Linked DNA regions of Callithrix jacchus. The protein of the gene in region 1 interacts with the protein of each later gene in a pairwise test. Links are inferred from orthologs where the notes say so. Each region holds a gene or a part of one and is shown in the gene's direction. Other genes may lie near its edges. The genes, in order: FUNDC1, EHHADH, TUFM, YES1 and GABARAPL2.

Region 1 (5,596 bases):
ATCTCAAGCAGCAGGGCATTAGAAAAATATTGGTCCCCTAGTGAGCCCTTGCGCCCTTAGAAAAGTATGGCTTGAAACAGGGTTTCTCTTATCTTTTACAAGCCTGTTTCCTCAAGCATGTGAATTCTGGTAGAGTGTTCAAAATACTCTTAAAAAATTATTCTGACAGTGTGCAAGTGATGGGCCTAAATTTAAAAACAATTATGAGACACTTCTTAAAAGGGTAAGGAAGACTTTGTTCATGACTATTGCAATAGGTGTCAAGACTATTGCAATATAGTCTGGCATGGTGGCTCATGTCTGTAATCCCAGCACTTTGGGAGGCAGAGGCAGGAAGACTGCTTGAGCCCAGAGGTTCAAGACCAGCCTGGGCAACACAGGGAGACCTAGTCTCCACAAAAAATAAAATTAGCCAGGAGTGGTGATGCATGGCATGGAGACCCAGCTACTCTGGAGGCTGAGGTGGGCGGATCTCTTGGGCCCAGGAGTTTGAGGGGCAGTGAGCCATGACTGCGCCACTGCACTTCAGCCTGGTGACAGAGCGATACCCTTTCTTGAAAAACAAAGTTATCACAATAGGGGTGAGTGATGGTTCTCAACTCTGAACACAGCAGGGAATTTATAGTAAATGATCAGAGTGAATGGATCAGTGGGGGGAAGATTACCACCAAGAGCGGACATGAAATGTAGGGGTATTCTTTTTTTTTTTTTTTTGAGATGGAGTTTCCCTCTTGTTGCCCAGGCTGGAGTGCAATGGTGTGATCTTGGCTAACTGCCTCCCAGGTTCAAGTGATTCTCCTGTCTCAGCCTCCCGAGTAGCTGGAATTACAGGCACGCTCCACCACACTTGGCTAAGTTTTGGTATTTTTAGTAGAGACAGGGTTTCACCATGTTGGCCAGGCTGCTCTAGAACTCCTCAAGTGATCCACCAACTTCGGCCTCCCAAAGTGCTGGGATTACAGGCGTGAGCCACCGCGCCAGGCCTTTTTTTTTTTAGGTGGAGTCTTGCTCTGTTGCCCAGGCTGGAGAGCAATGGTGTGATCTCAGCTCACTGCAACCTCTGTCTCCCGGGTTCAAGCGATTCTCCTGCCTCAGCTTCCTGAGTAGCTGGGATTACAGGCATGCGCCTCCACGCCTGGCTAATTTTGTATTTTTAGTAGAGATGGGGTTTCTTCATGTAGGTCAGGCTGGTTTCTAACTCCCGACCTCAGGTTTTCCGCTCGCCGGGGCCTCCCAAAGTGCTAGGATTACAGACGTGAGCCACCGATTTAACATAATTTTTGCTGGTGGCAAAGTGATCAGATATCAAGGGTGGGGTTGAAGAATTTGATCGGATATTGAAGATGATTCGATATTAAGGGTGTGGGAGTTCTCATTAAATTGACTTAACTGGATTCTCGCCACAAATGGACTAAGCAGGTCAAAGACGACCCAAGGAGGAGACCTAGTCAAAAAGAGCTCAGAGGAGCTTCCTCACTAAAGTTTGGTCGAGAGAGTCTTTGTCAATACCCAGCTGGCTTTCCCTTTGTACCACCATGTGGCGTCCTCCCTTCCCCCCATTCCTTCAGTCATAGGCTCTTTAAAACAAAATATTGAAATTCAAGTTATGGAAATTCTAGGAGGGGCGATCCCTCCCATTTCCCCTTTCCCCCTCCCTAGTTGCGGAAGACAACGGACTACAAATCCCCTACGCTCTCGCGGGGCTACGATCCGACTAGCCCTCCCCCGCATTCCGGAGTCTCGCGCCTGCGCAGAAGGCAGAAGGTCCTGCGCTGAGGGAAGGGGGCGGAGACGGGACTACGCGCCAGGAGTAGGAAGGGGAGGAAAAAAGAGACCATAGACTCCCATCCTGGCCTAGAGCGGCCCTTAAAGTGCCAGGGAGAGGAGGGCGGGCGGGGACCACTACAGAATTGGCCGCCGGCGGTATCATGGCGACCCGGAACCCCCCTCCCCAAGGTGAGCGGCCAGGGCCTGAAGTGGTATCTGGGACGTGGCTCACAGCTCTCGACCTTGCTCCCATGGCACCTCTTCCTTCCCCTGCCCTAGGATTCTTCGAGCTCTATTGTTTATTTTTAAGGCAGCCCCTTTGAGCACCACCTTCGAGTTAGACTTTTTCCTCCCCTCTCTGCGGAACTCAAGCGGAGAGCCACCACCCCCACCCCCAGCACAGCCCTACCTGCCTCCTGCCTTACCTTCACCGCTGGCCCATCATCTCCATCTTCAAATGTATTATTTTTCTTTTTTTAAACGTCTAGACTCTGAAGTGATTTCGCTGGGCTCCAGACTAGTTCTCAGAGGAGGACCCCTCCCCACCCCCACTCCTCCCACTGATGAAAATGGACCCTGCACTGACCTTGACCTTACTAAGGTTTGGAGTGGGGGTGACCCCTCACTACTGTGTGATTCTGAGTTGGCCCTGGCTTCGTGACCCCAGGCCAGTCCCTGGGCCTTTGGGAAAGCAGATGGGGGTCATTGTTGCAGGGCCCTTTACTCTTGAGGCGGTGGTCTCAGGAATTAAGTAAAGTCAGTAGTTTCCATCTGGGCATTTTTAGCTGTAGGCCAAAAGGAATGAGTTGTAACATATTTTTGAAAAGATTTCTGACTTTTGATTGACTCTACATTTATTTTTTCCATTTTGCTATTTTAAAGAATATGAAAGCGATGACGACTCTTACGAAGTGTTGGATTTAACTGAGTATGCAAGAAGACACCAGTGGTGGAATCGAGTGTTTGGCCACAGTTCGGGACCTATGGTAGAAAAATACTCAGTAGCTACCCAGATTGTAATGGGTGGCGTGACTGGCTGGTGAGAACAACGTCTTTTTCATTAAATTTCATTTGGGGGCCTGACACTGCTGTCCTTTCAAACATGGGTGAGAGTCACTGCACATTCAGTGGGTCTACACTGTTAATTCCAGAAGAGGCTTTTCTCTGAGTTAAAATTGATGCAGTCTACATTCCCAGACTCCCCGTTGGGTTTTGGTGATCCCCTCCCCCATGCCCACCACTGTTCTCTCCTCCCTCCTCACCCTTCTTTTGATTCTTTATATGCTTTCCCCATTCTCATGTTCAGCAAATGCCGTGGATCTGATTCAGTGATAGTAGATAGGAAGAAATATATGAGTTAATTAAATGTAAATTTTTACATTTCATTCAGTGCTAACTACTGAAAAAAACCTAAGAAACTCCCACGGTAGAACTGGCCTCTAGTATTGTCAGCGTTGTAGAGAGCAGTGTAAAAATGCTCTGCGCAAATTATTGGTGATGATACAGATAATTCTGGGTTTTTCTTTTGTGGGCTCGGTCAGATTATGATAACTCTTTGGAAAAGAGCTGTAGAACATTAGTTCTGTGTTGAAATTAAAGATCTGATTGCTTACTTTGTAATATTGTGGGGTCCATTAAGAAGTGGTTAATAAGCATCAGCCTGACCAGTTAACATTTCAGACCATGTGATAACACAATGGCTACTGTGACTCTAATTCTGTTCTTATGAAAAGACTAGCTAGATAACAAGGGGCAGAAACAAATTTCACCGTTTTGAAAATGTTCTTGACTGTAGAGAAATTTTGAAGTTAGTGAGGGTGCTTAACTTGGGCATAAGCATTTTTTCTTAGATTCGCATTTAAGTTCATCTTACATTGATTTAATGGAAATATTTACGTTTCCACTTGATAAGTATAACAACGAGTTTTTTGATTTGTGTTTTACATGCATTTTGGAATAATGACACGCTCCTCTATGCCTTTTTGCAAATGCCATTTTATGATAGAAATACTGATTGTGAAGATTCTGTGGTGCAGAGGTGCGGTATTTATTCATGATATGTGCTTATTAATGGTGCTACGGGAAAAAAGCCCGCAATAAAAAGAGATGCCTGTCAGGGCCTGGTCATTGAGATAATTCTCCATAGGCTGATTAGTTCCTCTAGCCCTGTAATTCAGGTTATGGCTCTCTGCTTAAATAAGCTCACAATTTGGTGCCAGAGGTGATTGGTTAATGTCAGTCAGTGCCTAAAGCCTAGTCTTAAAACAGACTAAAAAATAATTGAGAAATAGAATTACCAAGTCATTTCATGGTTTCTCCTTGGAGAGCAAACTCCTTGTAGAACAAGCCCCATCATTTGCAGAAGTTTGCTCAGAAAGGCTAGAGACAGAGCAGCAGGAAATAGGTTCATTTTAGTGACTGATGCCATCAAGCAATGGATGCACATGCTTGTGGAGCACAGTCCAAGGGGTATTGTGCCTGCTGCCTGCTTTTTCTGTTCCCTTTTCTGAGCCTTTGTTGCTGACTCCCCTATTGAGGGGCACATTCTTTATAGTAATACAATTGTCCCTCAGCGTAGGTTACCAAAATCTGCGGATTCTCAAGTCCCTGATATAAAATGGCATAGTATTTGCTTATAACCTACACACACTCTCGTATACTTTAAATCATCTCTTAATTACTTATAACACCTAATGCAATGTAAATAATGTAAATGCTATGCAAATAGTTATGTGGAATTTTTTTAATTTGTGTGATTTTTTTATTTTTGTTTTTTTGTCTTTTTTTAAGTTTTGTATCCCGATTGATTAAATTGTGGATGTAAAACCTAGCGAGGACACAGACACACACACACACACACACACACACACACACACACACACAGTGTTGGTCCAGGAGCTGTATAATAGAACTCTAATAATACAAGTGATTTGTTGCAATGACCTTATTCAGTGTAGTAAATTTTTGCAATTTTCTTAGGATGTAAAATTGATGTGATATTGTGGTGTCTATTAAGGAGGAACAGTTAATAGGCATTAACTTGACCAGGTAGCAATTTAGACCAATTCAAGACGTGAATAGGAGGCTGAGGAGATTTTATTTAGCTGCGGATAGCTGTAGGCTTTTGACCATGACAAAAAAATTAAAACTATTATCAGGATGGATGGTTGCTAGGAGAAATGGGAGGTGTCAAGACCAGTTAGAGGGCCCTTAGAATGGTCTGGAAGCAAGGTAATGATGACCTTGAGAATGGAAAGAAGACAGTCAAATCACATTTTGGAGATAAAGTATATAGAGCTGTGGAGGCCAGGAGTGGTGGCTCATGTCTGTAATCCTGGCACTTTGGGAGGCTAAGGCAAATCTTAGACATTTAGGGTAGATTACCTGAGGTCAGGAGTTCAAGACCAGCCTGGGCAACATTGTAAAACCCTGTCTCTACCAAAAATACAACAATTAGCCCGGTGTGGTGGCAGTTGCCTGTAATCCCAGCTACTCGGGAGGCTGGGGCAGGAGAATTGTTTGAACCCGGGAGGCAGAGGTTGTGGTAAGCCAAGATCGCACTCCAGCCTGGGCAACAGCGAACTCCATCTCAAAATAAATAAATAAAATAACAGAAATTCTCTCACTGTTCTGGAGGCTAGAAGTCTGAACTCAGGATGTCAATAGTGTTTGTTTTTCTTGGAGGCTCAGAGGGAGAAGTCTTTTTTTTTTTGAGACAGAGTCTCACTCTTGTTGCCCAGGCTGGCCTGCAGTGGTATGATCTCGGCTCACCGCAACTTCCACCTTGCAGGTTCAAGCGATTCTCCTGCCTCAGCCTCCTGCATAGCTG
Region 2 (5,707 bases), on another chromosome or scaffold:
TTGTGAATATTCTTAATTCATGGCAATGTGTTTATTTGCATACAGTTGAGCAGGGTCACTAGGGCTGCTCACAGAGAGAGAACTCAGAAACCTGATATACCAGCAATCGGATAAGAATTTCTTACCAGTTGGACTTCTGGCCCCTTTCTGTGCAAACTGGCTGAATGAATGGTAAAAGATTATAAAAAGGCATGAGAATGTAAATTTTTATAAACATTTAACAGGCTTGCTAAAATCAAATTTCAGCCTCAAAAATTGTCTTTTCTGACCTCTAACTTTGAGATGCTACAGCAGGCTCGTGAACTATCCAAAAAAGGGGTAAACAGGATTATTTGACATGTTTAGTTACATGGGAAGCATTATCAAAATAAAAAATAATATGTAATCATCTTCAGCTTATATTTTAGTGAATGATATTAATATGTGTTCCAAAATTGTAGGGGATTTTGGTCAAAATGGCGAGAACCTGGACACCCTCCACCAGTAACAGTTTCACTAGTTGTGTGTTATTGTAAGACAAATAAAAGTGAGGTTGAGAAAGGAGAACAGGGCTTGGAACCAGGGAACCTAAGGAACTTCTTAGAACTAAATCAAATGGAAACACTTCAGCTATGACAGGAAATATCCTCTTCACTCACATAGGATGTACACTGAGTAAATGACTTTGTAATTTTACTTCATCCTCTTCATTTACGTAGGGCATACACCCAGTAACCAATGGGAAACCCCTAGAGGGTATTGAAACCCCAGAAAATTCTGTAACAAGGGCCCTTGAGCCCCTTTCTCAGGCCCACTCCCACCCTGTAAAGTGTCTTTTCATTTTCAGTAAATCTCTGCTTCTGTTGCTTTGTTCTTTCCTGGCTTTGTTTGTGTGTTCCATCCAGTTCTTTGTTCAAAATGTCAAAAACCTGGCCAACTTGCAGTCCAGACCCTTCTCCAGTACACGACATTATGTAAGTATTTGGTTGATGTTAGTGTGATCACTGGATAGGTTCTTCCTGCCTGCTTCACAAATAAAATCAATTCGAGGAGACCTCGGCATTGCAGTGAAGAAAGAGTTTAATTGATGTGAGGCTGGCCAGGCCATGTGGGAGATGGAGTTATTACTCAAATCAGTCTCATCCAAGGCTAGTAGCTTAGGGGTTTTTCAAAGGCAGTTTGGTGGGCAGGAGCTAGGTTATGGGAAGTGCTGACTGGCTGGGTTGGAGACGAACTCCTAGGGGGTCAAAGGAAGCTGCCTCTTGTACTGACTTGTGTGTGGGCAGGGCCACAGGAGCAGTTGACTGGTCCAGGAGGAGCCATCAGTGTCAGGCATGCAAAAAATCTGAAACGATATCTCAAAGGGCCAAACTTAGGTTCTACAATAGTAATGTTATCTGCAGGAGTAAATGGGGAAGTTGTCTATCTGGTGGCCTCCGGAATAATGGCTGGCAATGGTCTATGTCTACACCTTAACAAACAGAAGTCAGGCTCTGCTATCCTCCTAGCCTGGTGGTCTCTCATTTAGCTTTACAAAGGCAGTTGAGTTTTGGGAAAGGGCCATTATCATTTAAACTATAAACTAAGTGTCTCCCAAAGTTAACTTAGCCCAAGCTCAGGAATAATTAAGGGTAGCTAAAGGCAAGATAGGGGTTGGTTAAATCAGATCTCTCCCACTGTCATAATTTTCTCACTGTTAGAATTTTTGCGAAGTCTGTTTCATCAGTACCCTACTCATTTAGGTGAAATAAACAATGGGTATTTTATGTGTTCCGATGAGTATCAGTATCACATAACTGTCAGGGCCCCAGGTATCTGTCCCTGTTCAGAAGGATCATGAAGATGAATACTGCGATGCGGACAGCTTGCCCGACTCAGTGAACTCAGAACTTGTCCTCAGTAGCCGGCTCCTGTGGGCCAGGGATTGCAAACTTCGACTTGCCGGCAGTGACACCTGTTTTCCATCATTCTCCTTGCGGTACTTTGTAGCAGGAGCAGCGTGGGAGTCAACAAAGAGAAAGCACAAGCGTCTGTGGAGCGCGGGGTGGAGTCTCGGGAGAGGAGGACCTGGGTGGGAAGAGGCGCGGCAGGAGGCGGTGCCCCGGCTCGCATTGGCTAAGCCCGCGTCCCTCCCCTCGGGGCTGCTGGCGCGCCCGGAAAAGTGGCTTCGCCTGAAGGCGAGAGGCAGAGGTACCCTCGGTGACAGAGGAAACATGGCCGAGTATACGCGGCACAACGCCTTGGCGCTGATCCGCTTCCGAAACCCGCCGGTCAACGTGATCAGGTAACCGGCTCCGTCGCCTCCAGCCCTGGGACCGTGGGGGCCTTATCCGCCCGCGGCTCTGGAGGCTTTGACTGTCCCCGGCTGGTTTAAACGGAGAAAGACACTGACAGTTGAGCAACTGGTATATGCCAGGAGCCTGCCTGCTTTCCCTCCTTCCTTCCTTCCCTCCCTCCCTCTCTCCTTTCTTTCTCTCTCTCCTTACTTCCCTCCTTTCCTCCCCGCCTCCCTCCCTCCTTCCTTCCCTCGCTCCCTCTCTCACTTTCTCTTTCCTTCCTTCTTTCCCTCCTTCCCTCCCTCTTTCTCTCATCTCTCTCTCTCTCCCCTTCCTTCCTTCCCTCCCTCCTTCCCTCCTTGCTTCCTTCCTTCCTTCTTTCCTTCACTCCCTCTCTTCTTTCTTTCTCTCTCTCCTTCCTTCCCTCCCTCTTTCTCTCCTTTCTCTCTCTCTCTCTTTCTTTCCTTCTCCTAGATTAGCTTGGTTAATCTTTGCAGAGAACTCTCGTCCCCATTTTCCTGGTAAGGAAACAGAGGCTGAGACACATGCTAACTTAGGGAGCTGGCGTTGCCCTGTCCGTCCTGGGAACCCTTCTGCTTACTTGCAGCTTTGGCGTCTCTAATGCAAAGGTCTTAACTTAGTTGCATTTTGGACTTTGATCCAGCCTCACTCCCCAACTTTGAGTCCAGGCTGCCCTTACCATGTTTGGCTAAAAGCTTTAGGAATTGGGCAATAAAATGTTTTAACATTAAAAAAAAAAAATGAAGTCCCACTAATGCCAAGGTAGTGATTAAAGCAGAATTGTGCCCTGACTCACAAACGCAAAATTATTTCTCCTGATTTGTTTAAACCTCAAGACTGGTGCTTCCGAGGAAGACTCACATCCAACTAAGCCTGTGTACCAGCAGTTTCTGAAAAACTGCACCTTGTCTTCTTTTTCTCACTGGGGAGTACTTGCCGTGTGTACTGCACTTAAAACATTACTTTAAAAAGTGAGATCAGCCTGGCATGGTGGCTCATGCCTGTAATCCTTGCACTTTGGGAGGCTGAGGCGGGTGGATCACCTAAGGTCAGTAGTCCGAGACCAGCCTGGCCAACATGGTGAAACATCATCTTCACTAAAGATACAAAAATTAGCTGGATGTGGCGGTGCATGCCTATGGTCCCAGCTACTTGGGGCTGGGACTATAGGCTGAAGCAGGAGAATAGCTTGAACCCAGGAAGCAGAGGTTGCAGTGAGCAGAGATCCTGCGCTAATGCACTCTAGCGTGGGCGACAAAAGTGAGACTCCGCCTCAAAAAAAAAAGTGAGATCAGTGTTGTCGTTTTGAATAGTAATGAATTTATTTGGTCCTTCTGCATCTCTTTAAAAAAGTAGTTATACATCAGCCTTGAAAAAAGAATTACCTATCTACAGGGAATAGGATTAGTGGAAATTATAATTTACCAAGAATATATATGGCATAGAGAGAAATGTCTTTGGTCAAAATTCTTATGTGCTGTTGGAGCAAAAAGATTGAAATGAGAAGATCTGCTGATTTTAATAGAATTTAAAAATCTTACTGTCATCAGATTTATCATTAGAATTTTTATTTCGGTATGATTTATTGCATTTAGTAATATGCCAAAAAAATGCAGCACTAAAATCACATAAGGATGACATGTCTACTAACTTGGCATTCCCAGAATAAAAAGCAAAATATCTGTTATGTTGATTTTAACAAAGAAAAATGTAAGTAATATGATTACATGTCCATTTTGGACTGGTCTGTATACTGATTAGAATTGCTAGATGTTAGGACCTTAGGGGGAAAGTTCCATCCTCTAACACCCATGACTAGGCATATTTTCTGGCAACTGTTTTAAATGCTTCTGGAATTTAACCTGTTCTCCCTGCCCACCCATGCCACCACCTGTGCCACCCCCATCCCTTTTTGCAGGAGAAATGTTAGTGTCTACCTCATAAAGTTATAAAGTTTAAATCAGCTGGAAATTGTAAACTGGCATTTAATGGATGTCAGCTATCATTCGTATTAGTCAGAAGACCTATTCAAGCCCTTACCAACAGGCCTTGCTACCCAGGCTCCACTTCAGTTTCATCAGGAAGATTTTCTCCATTTGGAAATAAGGACTTCTCTGCCCTTTTTCATCTGTTTTTTGAACTTTTTTTTAAAGTGGAAATGTACATCCTTGCAGTTCCTCAAGTTTAACAGATTCCTCAATTTTTTTATTTCACTTTTCTTTCCTTCCTCCCTTGCTTCCTTTCTCCTTCCTATTTCTAATTCTATATGGGAAGTCATCTCTTCCCAGCTCATTGAGAGATTCTTACTTGAGTATACACACATACACACACACAAACACACAAACATGTATATACATATATAAATTTTTCCCCCTGAAAAAATAGTTTAAATCCTTCATTGCTAGTTTAGCCAGCCATGTTTGCTTCCATTCAGATAAACACCAGCCCTCTTTATACATGTAGGACATGCCTGATTAATAGGCTGTCTCCCAGGACAGTGGCTTTCACACTTTTGCTTTAAGCTTATGTTTTTACATAGCAATTCAAGACACACTTACATACAAACGCGTAACAGAAAACAAAGTTTCCTAAAACAAAACCTATCCTTACATGGTATATTGTTTGATATATTCTATTTTCTTTTCTCTTTCTTTTTTTTTTTTTTTTGAGATAGAGTCTTGCTCTGTCGCCAGGCTGGAGTGCAGTGATGCAGTCTTGGCATGCTGCAACCTCCACCTCCTGGGTTCAAGCGATTCTCCTGCCTCAGCCTCCTGAGTAGCTGGGATTACAGGTGCCCACCACCATGCCCAGCTAATTGTTTTGTTTTTTTTTTTTGAGACAGAGTTTCACTCTTTTACCCAGGCTGGAGTGCAGTGGGGCAATCTCAGCTCACTGCAACCGCCGCCTTCAGGTTTTCAAGCAATTCTCTTGCCTCAGCCTCCCAAGTAGCTGAGACTAAAGGCACGCACCACCACACCCAGTGTTTTTTTTTTTTTTTAATTTTAGTAGAGATGGGGTTTCACCATGTTGGCCAGGATAGTTCAGTCTCCTGATCTCATGATCCTCCTGCCTCAGGCTCCCAAAGTGCTGGGATTACAGGCATGAACCACTGCACCCAGTGGATATATTCTATTTTCTCTTCCTTTTCTTTAAAAAAATCCTGGACACAAGCCACAAAATTGATTTGATGACCTTTGGTTTAGAAAAAAAAAACTGTCTATGAAAAGAAAGAAATTCTATAGTCAAAGAAGTTGAAGAGCTTTGGTCATGAAGCACTGTCTATACTCCAGACTCTCTTCATGCCTGACAGTATTAACAGGAGAAAATAATTTTCTAACTTCTCTGGCCTTTCCCTTACTATGACTCTGTCAGCTTGAATCTAGTAAAGTGTGTATCTGTTAGAGCTATTTTCATTTTTTTCCTGTTTTTGA
Region 3 (5,439 bases), on another chromosome or scaffold:
ACCAAATAGTATTCTTTTAAATGGATTTATTTTTTAAAACTTGATTATTATGCCAGTTTTTTTTCAAGCTAAAGCACTTTAAAATAAATATAGCACCACAAAATAGAAACCATTAATTCAAATACCACTCCCAAAAAACACATGTTGCTAGTGGCCATTAATGTCTTAAGATAGACTCCTGACCATCAGTTTTCACACCTGCAAAATGGGGGAAATAATATATCCTACCAACCAGGGTAGCACTCAGAGCACTGATTGTGAAACAATATGAATGCCTGCACATTATAAAGCTCTAGTTCAGAGTTTCCCAAACTCCTCTGAGTTTTCATCAAAAAAATGTTTTTACAGATGCGGTCTGATTCTCTGTCACTCAGAGTGGGGTGCACTGTCATAATCATACCTCACCGTAGCCCTGAACTCCTGAGCTCAGGAGATCCTTCTGCCTCAGCCTCCTGAGTAGCGGGGGCTACAGGTACATGCTACTGTTAGCATGCCTGGTTAATTAAAAAAAAAAAAAGATTGTAGCGATGCGGGGGGCAGGGGTGGAGTGTCTCCTAATCTGCCCAGGCTGGTCTTGAACTCCTGACTTCAAACGATCCTCCCACCTCAGCCTCCCAAAGTGCTGGGACTATAGGCATGAGCCACCGTGCCAAACGTTTTAGAAGGGTGTTGGTTATATACCTTCCCAGTATGTGCACAGAATCATAATCTCCAGGGGAGGAATTAGGGAATCTCTTTGAAACAAACACTGTCCACTGAGTCTCAGGATCTGATGAGTTCCGAAACATAAATCAGGGTTAAGCAGCCACAATTAACACTTCAGAGTGCCATGCGGAAGCTGCCATGAGATGATGGATGTGAAAGTCAAGGGTCATTGACTACCCCTGCACTCATTCATTCAATATTTACTGCATGCTCCACCCTGTTAGGTGCTGGGGCCACAGACGGAATAAAAGAGACTCAGGCTGCCCTTAAAGGCTCCCCTAGTTGGCTCCTCGTCCTTGGTGTCATCTGTAAAATTAGGTGGGTGGGGCGGCGCCCAACGGAACTCCTCCTTAGGCAGCTGAGTGGCCATAAGGATGGGCACCGAAGCTGTCTGTCTGGTGGGCTCTGGCCCTGTGAGGTCAAGCAGTACAGGGTCCCCGCAAGCTGCCTGACCTCACAGGGCCCCACCCTGACTACCACCCAGGACCACATCCGTGATTCCTACCCAGTTCATCTCCTTTCAGGGCCAGATGAAAGAATCGCCCTATGAAGTGGATACTACCATTCCAATTTTACAGATAAGAAAACAAAGTGTCAGCAGAGAGAGGGGTCACACTTCACCCCACCCGCGAAAGGCGTCCAGGACCTGGTCCTACCTCCAGCTGCGGCAGAGGTGGCCAGATGTCTCCCAAGACCCGCGTAGCGAGTCGTACTCCGGGGGACTCGTGGTCTCTCTCTGTCGGTCTCAGGAGATTCCTAGGCAGTGGGAGCCGCCGCTGCCTCCCGTAGCCTAAGCCCCTCCCTCGGATCCGGCCTAGCCCGCCAGACTCCCACCCTGGGCGCTTCCACAGCCCGCCGCCCCAGGAACTACCATGCCCATGAGCCTTCGCTGCGTCGGTGCTTTAGGGGCGCTCCCCAGTGCCCCCCGCGGCCTCCAAAGAGAACTACGTTGCCCATCAGCCCGTGAGGCCCGAATAGTGGAAACCCTCTACCTCATTCTTCGCCCCCGAGACACATGCCCCCTACATGACGTCTTCAGCCGCGCGCCAGAAGTCCGCGGAGACGGCCATAGACACTGGCGGGTAGAGGGGACCGGACTTGCCCTCCTGCCCTGTACTTCCGCCGGAAGTGCCTTCTAGCCGCAAGCGCCCTTCATCCGCTGCGCGCTCCGGCTGCTTGTCCCGGTTCCCCGGTTCCCGGGGCGCGTGTATGGCCACAATGGCGGCCGCCACCCTGCTGCGTGCGACGACCCGTTTCAGCGGTGAGGGGTCGGGGAGGGTGATGGCGGCCCAGGAACACATTGGGGGCGTGGTAGGTGGCTGGGTTTGGTCTGAGCCTCGTCCTGCCTGACTCCAAGCTTGGGTCCCGGCAGGTCTCGCCGCCAGCCCGACTTTCCTGCTGCAGGGTCTGTTGCGGCCGCTGAAGGCCCCGGCATTGTCCCTCTTGTGCCGCAGCTTGGCCTTGGAGGCCAAGAAGACTTACGTGCGCGACAAGCCACACGTGAATGTGGGCACCATTGGCCATGTGGACCACGGCAAGACAACGCTGACTGCAGCCATCACGAAGAGTGAGTGGGGTGGGCGCGTCTAGCAACGCCCTATCAACTGCTGGAACGTCGAGCCAGGGAGGCGAGACCAGCAGAGTGGAGGAGGAGTTTACTGTGGCCCCCAAGTTTACTGCTGGAGGAGTTTACTGTGGCCCCCAAGTTTACTGCTGGAGGAGTTTACTGTGGCCCCAAGAGCCCGAACTTATGCGGCGGGTGAATTGGGAGATGCAGGAGACAGATTTCCCCTGATCAGGAAGAACTTTGTGATCCTCCAGCGGCTTCTCTCTAGCCGTAGGGAATGCTCTGCAAGCAGAGTCTGTACTCTTCTAAAGAAGTCATAGGGCCGACCCTTAAGGCTCTCTTAACATTTCTTTCTGACCCATAGTTCTCTCTGCTGGAAGAGTTAGAGATTGGAGGAGGTTGTGTCTTAGGTGGGGAGAGTTCAGGGGTGTGGTCTAAGCTCTGCTTCTAGCACTGGAATTTTAGCTGAGAGGTGTATTCTCTTCCTCCTTTAGTTCTAGCCGAGGGAGGTGGGGCTAAGTTCAAGAAGTACGAGGAGATTGACAATGCCCCGGAGGAGCGAGCCCGGGGTATCACCATCAATGCGGCCCATGTGGAGTATAGCACTGCCGCCCGCCACTACGCCCACACAGACTGCCCGGGTCATGCAGATTATGTTAAGGTGAGGGTTGCAGGGGACACTGGAGACAGGGCCAGAAGCTGCCTCATTTCAGGATAAATCTTAGGCTTGTGGGGAGGGGGTTAAGATATTCAGTGTTTGGATATAAGATGGTAGGTTTGTGGGCATGGCCACTCAGAATGGGTGGTGGTGAGATGGCCAAGAAAGGGGGCCTCAATTTCTAAGTGCTACACTTGGCTGCATGGATGTGGACTGAAGAACTCGTTGAACCTGGTTGTTTCCTCTCCTCCTACCCAGAATATGATCACAGGCACCGCACCTCTTGATGGCTGCATCCTGGTGGTAGCAGCCAATGATGGCCCCATGCCCCAGACTCGAGAGCACTTACTGCTGGCCAGACAGGTACTCCAACCCTGAGTAGGGGTGCAAAGGGGGAGAATGGGTAGTTGGGCCCCTCCAGACACTGTCCCTGTCTCTCTGCCATCTACAGATTGGGGTGGAGCATGTGGTGGTGTATGTGAACAAGGCTGACGCTGTCCAGGACTCTGAGATGGTGGAGCTGGTGGAGCTGGAGATCCGGGAACTGCTCACTGAGTTTGGCTATAAAGGACAGGAGACCCCAGTCATCGTAGGCTCTGCTCTCTGTGCCCTTGAGGTGAAGGCCGGGTCAGGCAGAGTGGCTGCTGCAGAGAGTCAGGCTAGATGGTCAACCAGAGCTCTGCTCTGTGTCTGGGAAGTGGTTTTTGGTAATTGAGAGGAGCGGAATACGAATTTCAGAGTCCTGTCACTTCCCCTCAACAGGGTCGGGACCCTGAGTTAGGCCTGAAGTCTGTGCAGAAGCTTCTGGATGCTGTGGACACTTACATCCCCGTGCCCACCCGGGACCTGGAGAAGCCTTTCCTGATGCCCGTAGAGTCGGTGTTCTCCATCCCTGGTGAGGACTGTGCCTGCTCCTACACACTCTCTATAGCAGCAGCGTAGCTCTGGGTCCCTGATATCCTGTCCTGTTACTTCCCAGGCCGTGGCACTGTGGTGACAGGTACGCTAGAGCGTGGCATTTTAAAGAAGGGAGATGACTGTGAGCTCCTGGGACATAGCAAGAATATCCGCACTGTGGTGACAGGTACGGGAGGCCAGCCTGGGGAGCAGGGGCTGGCTGCAGGGTGGCCTTACCCCTGGCAGATCCCTTGTGCCTTCCCTCTGCCTCACACTCGCTTCCCTTCTCCCTTTTCCTTTTCCCCTTCCCTTCTAGGCATTGAGATGTTCCACAAGAACCTGGAGCGGGCCGAGGCCGGAGATAACCTCGGGGCCCTGGTCCGAGGCTTGAAGAGGGAGGATGTACGGCGGGGCCTGGTCATGGTCAAGCCGGGTTCCATCCAGGCGTGCCCCAAGGTGGAGGCCCAGGTGAGGGCTCCAGGTGATGGTGGGCAGGGCTGAGCCAAGCTGTCCCCAGCATTCCAGTCAAGCCCAGCTCACCCTCATTGCTCTCTTCTCCAGGTTTACATCCTCAGCAAGGAGGAAGGTGGCCGCCACAAGCCCTTTGTGTCCCACTACATGCCTATCATGTTCTCCATGACGTGGGACATGGCCTGTCGGGTTATCCTGCCCCCAGGGAAGGTATGGTGGGTGGGAGGAATGTAGGGTGGAGGGGGGACTTTTTATATCACCTTTGCTTCACTTAGTTCCAAAGACAGACTGTGACAATCCAAGTGGCTTTATTTCCTTGGGTGGAAAGGGGCTGCTTGTGCTGCTAGCCAACATAAGGGGCATGGCTCATGGACTTAGAGGTGGGGAGTCCTCATCCAGTATGCCGTAAGCTGAAGCAGGTTAAAAGCTTAGCTCTGCCAGCAGTTTACCCACAGAAAGATTTCCTAGGTGTCTTCTTTCTGAATTTCACTGTATGAAAGCTTAGGAAGTCCTGGGACCAGGAAACTGCATAACCACAACTTCCTAGACATTTTTTCTCGAGACCACACCTTGGGAGCATTCATCACTGGTCTCTTTCATGTTCTCCTGTCTCAATATGCTGTTTGCATCTGCCTGACAGCCTGGGATGGGTGAACTGTCCCCAGGCAGAACCTTCCCCTGCTGCATTTTCCCATGACTCTTAACCTCTGAGGTAGCCAACAAAATGTTAAGGAATGAAGGCACTCTGGAGGCCATGCATGATCCTTCTCTTCCCACTCTAGGAGCTTGCCATGCCCGGGGAGGACCTGAAGCTCAACCTAATCTTGCGGCAGCCAATGATCTTAGAGAAAGGCCAGCGTTTCACCCTTCGAGATGGCAACCGGACCATCGGCACGGGTCTAGTCACTGACACACCAGCCATGACTGAGGAGGAGAAGAACATCAAGTGGAGTTAAGTGTGCAGACCTCTGCTCAGGTTTCCTTGTGCTGGCTAGGGCTCCCTCCTGCTTCTGGTGGCCCCTCAGGGCACAGGCTGCAACCCAGCAGAGGGCAGCTAGATGGACACTTCCCCTAGTTGGAAGGGTTGGCCTGCCTGGTTTGGGAGGTCAATAAACTTCTGTGAATAGTAAGCCAGGCTGCA
Region 4 (5,428 bases), on another chromosome or scaffold:
ATACAGCAGGCTGGGCACGGTGGCTCACTACCATAATCCCAGCACTTTGGGAGGCCAAGGCAGGGGGATCACGAGGTCAGGAGTTCGAGACTAGCCTGACCAACGTGGTGAAACCCCGTCTCTGCTAAACATACCAAAATTAGGCCGGGCACAGTGGCTCACGCCTGTAATCTCAGCACTTTGTGGGGTTGAGGCAGGCGGATCACGAGGTCGAGAGATCGAGACCAAACTGGCCAACATGGTGAAACCCCGTCTCTACTAAAAATATGAAAATTAGCTGGGCGTGGTGGCTCATGCCTGTACTCCCAGCTACTTGGGAGGCTGAGGTAAGAGAATCACCTGAACCCGGGAGGCAGAAATTGCAGTGAGCCGAGATTGCGAGATTGCGCCACTGCACTCCAGCCTAGGCGTCAGAGCAAGACTCCATCTCTTAAAAAAAAAACAAAACAAAAAAAACTATCTATATATAGATATATAAGCTGGGCGTGGTGCAACATGCCTGTAATGGCAGCTATTAAGGAGGCTGAGGCAGGAGAATCACTTGAACCCAGGAGGCGGAGGTTGCAGTGAGCCGAGATCGCACCACTGCACTCCTGCCTGGGCGACAGAGTGAGACTCAATCTCAAAAAAAAAAAAAAAAAAAGAAAAAAGAAAATACAGCATCGTTCTACATTATGTGTATCTTTTTGTTCCTCTGAATGCCTGTGCCTACCTTTCGTTCATTTAGTGAGCTGAAGAAAAAGTTTTCAAACCCTTATACGCATTTCCTTAAGTTCCTAGAATACCGGAACACTGACACATAAGATTGCACTATTTCGTATCTGTTTAAGATGATTCTGAATTTCACTAAAAACCGCAAAGGAAACCAACAGTCACACAATAATTGTGATAACCCACCAAAGAGGAAATACAGAGAGGAAGTTACTCGAAAAGTTTGACAAGGCAGAAGTGACTGCAGCAGAAGAGCCTCAAGGCTCCATGAGGACCCTGATTAACCGTCCCTCATCTTTACGCCCCCACCCCATCCTTCCTGGTCCTCCCCCTTCTTCCGCAATTGGCTACAAGGCTCATAGGAAAGGTGTGTGGATTCAGATGGATAGGATTCCAGCTGCTGCTCCTCCAGTTTCGGGGTCGCTGTTCCCACGATTGTCGAGCAGGGTGACCATACTTATCTCACTTCCCTCACTGGTCTACTGCCAGCAACATATAGAAATATGCTGTCCCAACATAAGCCAAAGCCACCATTACTGGGATAGTCGCCAAACACAACTCAGCTTTGGTTACCCTCCCGGCAAGGCTGGTTCGACCTACAGTCAACAGGAAGCTCCTGGGGGCAGGGACAGGGTCCCAGCCTCGGAAAGAGGCCAGACATGAACGTTTTTTGGACAGCGATCAGGATGGTGATGAGGGTGTGAGTAACGCTCCGGTTCACGCGGTTGGGCTGAGATTTTACTACTAACGACAAAGAGTGCGGAAGCTTAGTGCAGAGAAGCAAATAGTCAACCAAATAAACTCAACCCCGTCCTTCCCCACAAAAACAAGCCCCAAAGCCCTGGGTACTAGGCAGAGCCGGGCCAAGGAAAAGAGAAAGGCAGAGGGGCGCCCCATTCAATCCCCGTGGCAGCCGAGCGTCGGTGGGTTCCCGGGTGGGCAGGGGCGCCGCGGGCCTGCTCTCCCGGCGGGGAAGCGCCTCCTCCTCCTCACGCCCCCTCAGTCTGCACCGCCCGGAATATCCGCCCCGGACCCCGCCGCCATGTTGGGTCGGGAAAAATGACACGGACTGGCTGCCTAATCTGACCACAGCAAAGCGGCCCGGAGTCCGTGGAGCGGACGCGAGGGGGGCGTAGGCGCCAGAAAGCTGGGAACTCTGGAGCCGGGCCACCGAGGCCCGAGTTCCGGCGAGCCGGCTGCGGCGCGCGCAGGTAGCCGCAGCCCCCGCCCCGCGCCCGCCCCCGTGAGGAGTGAGGGGGCGGGGCCAGGAGGGGAGGAGGTGGAGAGTGAGGCCGGCGGGTGGGGAGCCCGGGAACTCCCTCCTCCTGAAGTAGCGCGTCCCGGGCCGGCACTGCCGTCGTTGCTGCCGCCGGACGCCCCGGGACGAGGAGGTGGAGGAGGGAGAGGGCCCGCGGGCCTCGCCTCCGTCCGCCGCCCCCGCCCGCCACCCCGAGCTGCGGCAGCAGCGACTCATGAGAGCGCGACCATAAAACAGGTAAGGACCCGGTGGGGCCCTGCGGGCGGAGGGGTCCACCCCGGCAGGGACAGCGCTAGGCCCCGGCGCCGGGAGCCGCCACTGCCGCCGCGGTTCTCCGCCCCCGCGGGCCAGAGTCGGGAAGTTAGGAAGAAACTTCTCCCCTCCCCCGGCTCGCCCGGCGGGCTGGTCTCCTTCCACGCGCTACCTGCTCGACCCCTGACTCGGTCCCTGCCCCGTCCAGTCCTGCCGGGTCCCGCCCAAGTTCGACCTGAGGTCCCAGGGGCGTGGGGACACTCCACACCCCTTGTCTTTGGGGTCGTGTGGACCGCCCCGCGACGTGGGGCGAGGTTTATTTTTGCCCGCCCGGCCGAAGTAGGGGCGAGGGAAGCGGCCCCTTTCGGTCCTAAAGGCTGGGGTTCCGTATGTCGGCTAACAGCGGTAGCAGCTGTGCGGGGAGAGGAGCGGGTGTGTGGGGCGAGTGGGTGAGCCTCTGGCTTTACTTGGTTTGATTGAAAACCGCAACATGTTTAAAGTTTTCCTTTGTTTTGGATTGGGGGTTGTGAAATTTACTATTCAGCGTCCACTTCTACAGAATCTTGCCACACCGCCTCCCATTGCGTTCGGTGCCCTGTCCACATGTGTTAAAGAAAATTTTGTTTTAAAGTGTGTTTTTCTTCTTAATTGCTTCCAGCTTTCACTTTTTTGGGCATGGGGCAGAGTTGTTTTAGGAAGCTCTTTGAAAATAAGTCTGGTGTAGGGACTTTAGTGCTGTTTTCTAGTAAGACTTAACAGTTCGGATTTGGTTGAATTATTTTCTGCATAATTAATTGATGTAGGCTTGGAATAACATACAGTCTAATAATTTATAAATTATTAAAGGAAATAATGAAAAGTCTTTGGTGGAAGCACAATTTTATGTCCATATCGTTTATGTACATTCGTTCTACGGGTGTGTGTTTTCACATAGTTGATTTCACATATATATATAATATGATTGTAGTGTCTTTATGCCTAAGGAAAATATTACTAAATCTATACACGTGACTGCATTTAAGGAAAAGTGCGTGGTAAATCTGATAACTATCACAGTGCTTGGCACACAGTGGACAGGAAGCATTTTGAATGGACAGGTAATAAAGGAGTGTCTTGTATTAGCCAAGGATCTTGTTTGCATCATGATTTTCATATATTGTACATTAAGAAAGTTTTACTTTAGCAAGTCATATATATGGTTTTTTTCTTTTTATTTTTTTAAATTAAAAAAATATGGAACGCTTCACAAATTTGCGTGTCATCCTTGCTCAGGGGCCATGCTAATCTTCTCTGTATCGTTCCAATTTTAGTATATGTGCTGCCGAAGCGAGCACTTTGTTTCTTTATAAATATAAGACCCCTGCTACAGTTGACATGTAAGAAAAGGAAGTTAAATTGTATTTTAGTTTTTGGACTAGCTAAAAGTCAGTGGAGATTTTAAATGCTGGTTGACTATTCAGAGGGCTCTACATTTGAAAAAGACAATTGCCTTTGATCTGAAAACAAAACAGTTTATATCCCTGTTTCCAGGATAAAAGATAAAAGGGCTCTTAAAATATGTACTCTGCTGTAACCACCGTAATGTTATAATAGCTTTAATTTTGCAGTTAGGTTTTGCTGACTTCATAAACCACAAAATTGATTCCTTTCTGTTCATCTGAAAGTGAAAATACAGCTTTGACCTGTCTTCTTGGCATAGGTGGAATTTGTCTTATGGTCAAAGTATAATAATACATGGGCTCTGTGTGTGTGTGTGTGTGTGTGTGTGTGTGTGTGTGTTCGGGAAATTCACAAGCTGAAAAATGTCTATGCGAGTAAAATTCCTCCACGGTATGTAATGATAAAAGAATGAATGTGCTAAAAGGAAAGAAGTAACCCTGTATAAGTGAAATACTACCAACCCATGGTGTAAGACTTATTCAAAGTTGAAATTTGCATTATGTTAGGCAGTAAATAATTTATTACTATGGGTAGTTTTTCTTTACAAAATCAGTGTAGGCATCACTTACTCTATTAGCATTGTAGTAAGAAAAAAAACTAATTCAAAAAAAAATTTAAGTGATGCTAAACTCTGGTGTCACCCAAACTTGGATAATAAAACTAAAAAAAAAACAAATAAGGTGCTTTGTTTAAGAATATATTTGGTGACTAACTTTAGAACACCACCTAGGCTATCCTCTGCCAATAGGATTAAATTTATTAAATCATAGTTGTCATATACCAACTAGTATATGTAACTACTTTGAAAACGTTAGGCTGGGCATGGTGGCTCACACCTGTAATCCCAGCACTGTGGGAGGCCAAGGCGGGCGGATCACGAGGTCAGGAGTTCAAGACCAGACTGGCCAACATGGTGAAACTCCGTCTCTACTAAAACATACAAAAATTAGCTGGGCTTGGTGGCTTGTGCCTGTAATCCCGGCTACTTGGGAGGCTGAGGTAGAATTGCTTGAACCGAGACCCAGGAGGCGGAGGTTGCAGTGAGCCAAGATTGCGCCATTGCACTCCAGCCTGGGCTGCAGAGGGAAACTCCATCTCAAAAAAAAAATAATAATAATACAAAAATCCAAAAATTAGCCGAACGTGGTGGTGAGCGCCTGTATTCCCAGCTACTTGGGAGGCTGAGGCAGGAGAATTGCTTGAACCCAGGAGACGGAGGAGGTTGCAGTGTGTACTCCGGCCTGGGTGACAGAGCAACACTCTGTCTCAAAACAAAAACAAAAACACAAAAGTACAAAAACTTTCTGGGTGTGGTGGTGCCCCCTTGTAATCCCAGCTACCTGGGAGGCTGAGGCACGAGAACGGCTCAAACCTGGGAGACAGAGGTTGCAGTGAGCTGAAATAGTAGTGCCACTGCGCTGCAGCCTGGTCAACAGAGTGAGACTCTGTCTCAACAAGTATAACAAAATAAAAAACAGAAACAAAATGTCAAATACTCCCAAATGTACAGTAATTAGAGAATTTTTGGAAAAATCTTCTAAATTTCTACTTGCTTTTTTTTAATAAGTTAATTTTTTGACAGACACAGGTTTTACAAAATTAAAATCTGCTTTGGCTTATATTTTGTAAATAACCAGTAGAAGGTAATCAAAATGTTTATTGAACTAATGGATACTGTTTTGTTATCAAATACTCTGTTTTTCTGAAAATTACATGACAAAACTCAAAACTATTTTCAGTTTTCTAGAACAGTAATTCTTTCGATCA
Region 5 (5,666 bases), on another chromosome or scaffold:
AAAAACAAACAAACAGGCTGGGTGCCGTGCCTCACGCCTGTAATCCCAGCACTTTGGGAGGCCGGGGCAGGCGGATCACCTGAGGTTGGGAGGTCCAGACCAGCCTGACCAACATAGAGAAACCCCATCTCTACTAAAAATAAAAGATAGCCAGGCATGGTGGCGCATGCCTGTAATCCCAGCTACTCGGGAGGCTGAGGCAGGAGAATTGCTTAAACCTAGGAGGTGGAGGTTGTGGTGAGCCGAGACAGCGCCACTGCACTCCAGCCTGGGCAACAAGAGCGAAACTCTGTCTCAAAAACAAAACAAAAATACAATCATTAGTTGGGTGTGGTGGTACATACCTGTAATCCCAGCTACTCAGGAGGCTGAGGCAGGAGAATAGTTTGAACCCAGGAGGCAGAGGTTGCAGTGAGCTGAGATCAAGCCACTGCACTCTAGCCTGGGTGACAGAGGGAGACTCCGTCTCAAAAAAGACAAAAACAAAACCAACCAACAAACAAAAAACCCCAAAACCCACCTAACCAACCAACCGAACAAAAACCAAACAAACAGGTGCAGTGGCTCACGCCCAGTACTCTGGGACTTTGGGAGGTCGAGGCAGGCAAATCACTTAAGGTACAAAGTTGGAGACCAACCTGGCAAAACCCCATCTCTACCAAAAATACAAAAACTAGCTGGGAGGGGTCGTGCATGCCTGTAGTCCCAGCTACTCAGGAGGCTAAGGCAGGAGAGAATCGCTTGAACCCGGGAGGCAGAGTTGCAGTGAGTCGAGATGACACCACTGCACTCCAGTCTGGGCAACAAATCGAGGGCCTGCCTCAAAAAACAAAAACGAAGACAAAGGAACAAACAAACATAAAACCTATTCTGATTGGTCAGACACACAGTCTTAAAATAACAAAAATACTTTTAGAATGAAGCTAGATTCCACAGCATCAATTGGGAATTTCCAGTGTAGGAAATGATGAACTAGCATGTTCAAACATACAGGCTTTACAGGTGCATCAGAATCACAAGCATGTGGCAGGGTTCATGTGCCCAAATTAAGTGAATATTCTTGCTACGTGCTCAGCAGCTTATAAACAGATGGTGACCTAGACCAGACTGCCTTGATGACTCTGCTTGGAAGAAAGGCATTACATCACTGGCTGGAGAACCTCAAGGCATATGTCTGGGCAGGTGACACACACAGCTTGGGCTGTGACTGCTAAACCACTCCCACAGCCAAACAAGGAAACCCATCTCATGACCAGCTCTCAGGGGAATTCTCCAAGCCTGACTGTCACCTCTAACTCCTCTGCCAGTTAAGGTTAAAGGGTCTGTGATCAGTTATGTTATACTCTTCAAATGTGCATTTGTTTGTCTGTTTGTTTTTGAGACAGAGTCTTGTTCCCACCCAGGCCATCTTGGCTCACTGCAACCTCCGCTTCCCGGGTTCAAACGATTCTCCAGCCACAGCCTCCCAAGGAGGTGGGACTACAGGTGTGTGCCACCATGCCTGGCTAATTTTTGTATTTTTAGTAGAAATGGGGTTTTACCCTGTTGGCCAGTCTGGTCTCGAACTCCTGACCTCAGGGGATCCTCCTGCCTCGGCTTCCCAAAGTGTTGGGATTACTGGCGGGAGCCACCACGTCCTACCTCGAATGTGCATTTCGTAAATGTTTATTCAAATAGATTCACGAATAAGGGAAGAAAATGGGATTTGTTTAAATTCAATTTCTAGGTCCAAGGCAACCTATTACCGCTGTCCCTAATACTGGACGTCCAGGTTGTCCTCAGTGCTGCTTCCTACACAGTGTCCTCAAACACCACCCCTCCCATACTGTGCCCCCACCCTGTCACCACTCCGAGCAATAACCCCCAAACTGTCAACGCCCAAAACAGCTCCCTTGTCATCGCCAAGCACTAGAGACTCCCCTTAAGTCATTCTTACTCCCAAAGACCGTTCTTGTCACCAATTCCCTATTCAGACCTCCCCTATAAACGCTCTAAGAGCCCTCAACTATCAGCCACACCCCCAAAGAGCCCTCAGAGCCATACACTATCAGCCAGACGCTTCCCGCCACAAACACTCCCGAGACCCCACTCCTGTCACCAGTTCCCCGAACATTTCTTCCTGGGGTCGCCGATATTGCTCACAGACGCCCCCGTAACCAACTTCACCGCCTCCGCAGCCTAGTAGCCCCCAGAAGGAGCCCTCCGTGACTACGTGCGGCCCCGCCCCTTGGCATAGCTTCCTGGCCAGTGGCGCCGGAAGCCCCGCCCCTGACCGGTTGCTAGGCTCCAGCAGCCGGAAGTCCCGCCTGCCGTGTAGTCGCCTCCGTCGCTGCTACCGCCGCCGCCGTTGTTGTTGTGGTCGGTACGCCGAGTTCCACGGCTCCGAGAGCCGGTTCCATCCCCTCCCCGCCGCCGCCATGAAGTGGATGTTCAAGGAGGACCACTCTTTGGGTAAGCACTTGGCCATCGGACCGGCCGCGGGGGGCCGCGGCGGCAGGTGGGCCCCCTCCCCCACTCGGGCGGCCCTGGGCCGGGTGAAGCAGGACGTATGCCGCGCTCCGGGCTCGAGCCGCCAAGGCTCCGGTGCCACGAGCAGCCGTCCCTCGACCCCGCGTCACTCTCCGCGGACCCCCCTGGGAGCTAGGGGACAGGACCGCGGCCGTGGGGACGCCGGAACGAGGGCCTGGGCTGTGCGCAAGGCGCAGGAGGAGGAGGGCCGAGGGCCCGGAACCGACCTGTGGGCAGGCGCGGCCGTCAGCCCTGTTTGTTTCTGCCACAGAACACAGATGCGTGGAGTCCGCGAAGATCCGAGCGAAATATCCTGACCGGGTTCCGGTGAGTGATTGGACTCTCCGCCCCCTCACCTCGCTGTCACCTCTGTCATCTGGGAGCCGTGATAGGCCCTAGGCCATTCAACAGTTGACAAGTTGAGGTTCCATTCCCAGTTGTAGTAGAGGACGGGCCAGACTGCGATGAGGCCGCCCAGGGCCGGGGCGTGAGGGGCTCGGGCTGGTGCTGTTCAGGGTGCCTCAGTGCTGAATCTCCGGATCTAGGCCAGCGAGAGCTGTCTGCAGCCTCGGGGCTCCCTGGCCAATTATGTAAGGAACGATGTTCTAGGACAGGGCAACAGGTCACTGCCACTTTTGGGAACGGTGGTGGAGGGAGACTGTCACTTTGGTCTTGGAAGTGGTACTTGAGTCTCAGGACCTTCACCTTTTACTTGGAGCCTCCATCTTTACCCAAATTCTGGCTCCGTTGCCTCACCTTGACCCTGTCATCCCTGCCTGACCAAAACAATGTGAGAAGCCGCTGAAAACCCTTTTCTGTTATGCTTTCTTCCTAGTCAGTAGTAAATATATTTTTTCCATGTTTGGGGAGATAGTTTTGTAATTCTTGTTAATTTTTAATGGACATTAAGGCCTGTTATTGTAGCTCTTTGCTTGTGAATAATTCCGTTGGGGGAAGGAGGGACGGATTTGAAACTTGTTCAGAGAAGAGCAACAGGCCAAATGAAGAGCTTGGTTCTTGGCTGGCTGAAATTCCAGGCATTCCCATTAGTCCATCTGTTCTTGTCTCCTGTGTTCCTTGGGAACACAGTAGTGTTTCCTGTAGTGTGAAGGGGATCCATTCTGGGGTCCTGGAGTAATGGGCTATGGATGTGGATCCCCACATATTCTTAGGTCTGCCCAGATAAAATGTGGAAAAGCTTAGTAGTAAGGGCTGCATTTTTCTTACATAACTGACCACAGAAAAGCACTTACCGTTTCCCTATAACCCATTTATATCAATTCTTAACCTCCAGAGCATGTGGTTATTAAGCCAAAGACATATTTTCTCCTGCTATGCAGTTTCCCACCCACCTCCTTGCCCACACTCTGTTCCTCAGCTCCTCAGCCTTGAGGCCAGAGCCTGGCTTTAGAAACCCAGTCCTGACCTCTCTTTATTTTCCCAGGTGATTGTGGAAAAGGTCTCAGGCTCTCAGATTGTTGACATTGACAAACGGAAGTACTTGGTTCCATCTGATATCACTGTGGCTCAGTTCATGTGGATCATCAGGAAAAGGATCCAGCTTCCTTCTGAAAAGGCGATCTTCCTGTTTGTGGATAAGACAGTCCCACAGTCCAGGTGAGAGGTGTTTACTAGATGGGTCCTCTGGTGTTAGACATCTGGTTGGCTGCTTAGAGAACTCAAAAACTTTGGAGGTCTGAAAACTCTTGGGGGTTCTGACTAGAAATCTGGATTTTGTGCTCCCTGACATCAGGGGCTCCAGGAAAATAACGGCTGCAATACATAAGGGTGCATTTTAGATTCGGAAAATAGAACAAGGCCTGGACTTCTAAAAAAGGGATGAAACTCAGCCTGAGACCTCCAAGAATCTTTTAAAACATTGAGGACTTATTTAGGCTTAAGCCATAGGTAGAACTGATGCCTGAAATGAGGTTTTCTTCCCTGAAGACAGTCTGGCCACTCTCCTCCACTGGGAACCTGTGGGTTCTGCTGAGGCTTACTCAGTTAATCAAGCGGTTTGCGTGCTCCCAAACTTCGTCAGCTCTCTGCCATTGTAAGAGTCTATAGCTGTCTGATCCTCAAGTCTGACAAAATGACTGCAGCACAGTAAAGGGCTCTGAAGTCTCTTTACAGACTTAAACCTTCCTTGGTAGCACCTGCTTTGACTGTCAGACTATGGTGCTGCCTGGAAGCAGTCTTTGGGAGTGTAACTTGCAGCCCGAATGTAGGCAGGGGCATTAGAATTTCCATTTTCTGTGTATTTGACAGCCCAGCTTTAGTCCCCTCTGGAATGAGGAAAATGGACAGGCTCCGTCTAAGCTCCTGGTCAGTCCTTTCCTGTTACTGAGTGGGTAGTTCTAGGCTCTGATCCAGATTCTGGCCCTCACCTCTCCCCTGAGTGTGAGTTCCTGGCCACATCTTACCTTAGTGACCCAAAGTAGGTTTCATTTACCACCCCCAGAAGTAATACTTCTAAAAGTGAAGGCTTTCAGAAGCCCTGGGAACTAGCCCAATGTTGCCCAGATAGGTTCCTGTTGAAAATCCTTGAAGACTTCCTAAGAGGCCCGTGCCAAATTCCAGACTTTATTTCTGTTAAAGGTGGAAAGCTCTGGCTATTTTTTGGTCTGATTACCTGTTTCCCAGTCTCTACCACCTCCACTTCCTGGTGTCTGGTAGAAAGGCAGGGGAGAAATGGAAGCTCCTTCCCTAAGGCCAGTGTCCAACCTGAGGAGATAGCCCAGGGCCTGCCCACTGGACACCATTGGTCTGCTGCAGCTGTAGCTCTGGAAGCTGTGGTGTTGCTTGAGGTGATTTTGTCATCCATGGGGCTCTTCCAACCTTCCTTCCCAGGCCTCAGGGCTATCTTCACGAGAGGAGGAAGCCTTGGGCATTCATAGTTACCCTGGGCTTTCCTTAAGGTGACTGGGGAAGTAATCTTTTATACCATCTGCAATTTCTGCAGAGCCTTGGTGACCCTGTGTTTTCTCCTTCCCAGAGGTGGTCGCTTAGTGGAAGTAAGTGACTAGGACCTATGGCATTAAGTTTATTTTCCTCAATTCTGATTCTCTGGTTCTTCTCAAAGGAAATGAAGCAGGCTTCTGGAGACCTTATGATTACTCTGATGGCTCCACAGTAATCTAGCAATTAAAATGACTACA

What was found.
Region 2: the proteins of FUNDC1 (region 1) and EHHADH interact in binary tests that used the Homo sapiens proteins (3 or more experiments, as listed by UniProt). The two-hybrid records come from large-scale screens. The link is inferred for Callithrix jacchus from reciprocal best matches to the Homo sapiens genes FUNDC1 and EHHADH.
Region 3: the proteins of FUNDC1 (region 1) and TUFM interact in binary tests that used the Homo sapiens proteins (3 or more experiments, as listed by UniProt). The two-hybrid records come from large-scale screens. The link is inferred for Callithrix jacchus from reciprocal best matches to the Homo sapiens genes FUNDC1 and TUFM.
Region 4: the proteins of FUNDC1 (region 1) and YES1 interact in binary tests that used the Homo sapiens proteins (3 or more experiments, as listed by UniProt). The two-hybrid records come from large-scale screens. The link is inferred for Callithrix jacchus from reciprocal best matches to the Homo sapiens genes FUNDC1 and YES1.
Region 5: the proteins of FUNDC1 (region 1) and GABARAPL2 interact in binary tests that used the Homo sapiens proteins (3 or more experiments, as listed by UniProt). The two-hybrid records come from large-scale screens. The link is inferred for Callithrix jacchus from reciprocal best matches to the Homo sapiens genes FUNDC1 and GABARAPL2.

The regions. Positions count from the first base shown.
Region 1 is NC_133524.1:45,510,328-45,515,923, reverse strand, and holds the start of FUNDC1 (FUN14 domain-containing protein 1), read left to right. Parts: upstream 1-1,856; 5' UTR 1,857-1,928; coding exon 1,929-1,956; intron 1,957-2,649; coding exon 2,650-2,806; intron 2,807-5,596. UniProt on the Homo sapiens protein: Integral mitochondrial outer-membrane protein that mediates the formation of mitochondria-associated endoplasmic reticulum membranes (MAMs).
Region 2 is NC_133516.1:14,235,169-14,240,875, reverse strand, and holds the start of EHHADH (peroxisomal bifunctional enzyme), read left to right. Parts: upstream 1-2,165; 5' UTR 2,166-2,192; coding exon 2,193-2,263; intron 2,264-5,707. UniProt on the Homo sapiens protein: Peroxisomal trifunctional enzyme possessing 2-enoyl-CoA hydratase, 3-hydroxyacyl-CoA dehydrogenase, and delta 3, delta 2-enoyl-CoA isomerase activities. Catalyzes two of the four reactions of the long chain fatty acids peroxisomal beta-oxidation pathway.
Region 3 is NC_133513.1:29,105,447-29,110,885, forward strand, and holds TUFM (elongation factor Tu, mitochondrial), read left to right. Parts: upstream 1-1,835; 5' UTR 1,836-1,914; coding exon 1,915-1,966; intron 1,967-2,077; coding exon 2,078-2,272; intron 2,273-2,766; coding exon 2,767-2,933; intron 2,934-3,188; coding exon 3,189-3,293; intron 3,294-3,381; coding exon 3,382-3,546; intron 3,547-3,692; coding exon 3,693-3,825; intron 3,826-3,909; coding exon 3,910-4,014; intron 4,015-4,143; coding exon 4,144-4,295; intron 4,296-4,388; coding exon 4,389-4,508; intron 4,509-5,080; coding exon 5,081-5,254; 3' UTR 5,255-5,428; downstream 5,429-5,439. UniProt on the Homo sapiens protein: GTP hydrolase that promotes the GTP-dependent binding of aminoacyl-tRNA to the A-site of ribosomes during protein biosynthesis. Also plays a role in the regulation of autophagy and innate immunity.
Region 4 is NC_133514.1:63,183,416-63,188,843, forward strand, and holds the start of YES1 (tyrosine-protein kinase Yes), read left to right. Parts: upstream 1-2,038; 5' UTR 2,039-2,206; intron 2,207-3,448; exon of another isoform or gene 3,449-3,555; intron 3,556-5,428. UniProt on the Homo sapiens protein: Non-receptor protein tyrosine kinase that is involved in the regulation of cell growth and survival, apoptosis, cell-cell adhesion, cytoskeleton remodeling, and differentiation.
Region 5 is NC_133521.1:32,970,140-32,975,805, forward strand, and holds the start of GABARAPL2 (gamma-aminobutyric acid receptor-associated protein-like 2), read left to right. Parts: upstream 1-2,308; 5' UTR 2,309-2,417; coding exon 2,418-2,451; intron 2,452-2,779; coding exon 2,780-2,835; intron 2,836-3,952; coding exon 3,953-4,125; intron 4,126-5,666. UniProt on the Homo sapiens protein: Ubiquitin-like modifier involved in intra-Golgi traffic. Modulates intra-Golgi transport through coupling between NSF activity and SNAREs activation. It first stimulates the ATPase activity of NSF which in turn stimulates the association with GOSR1.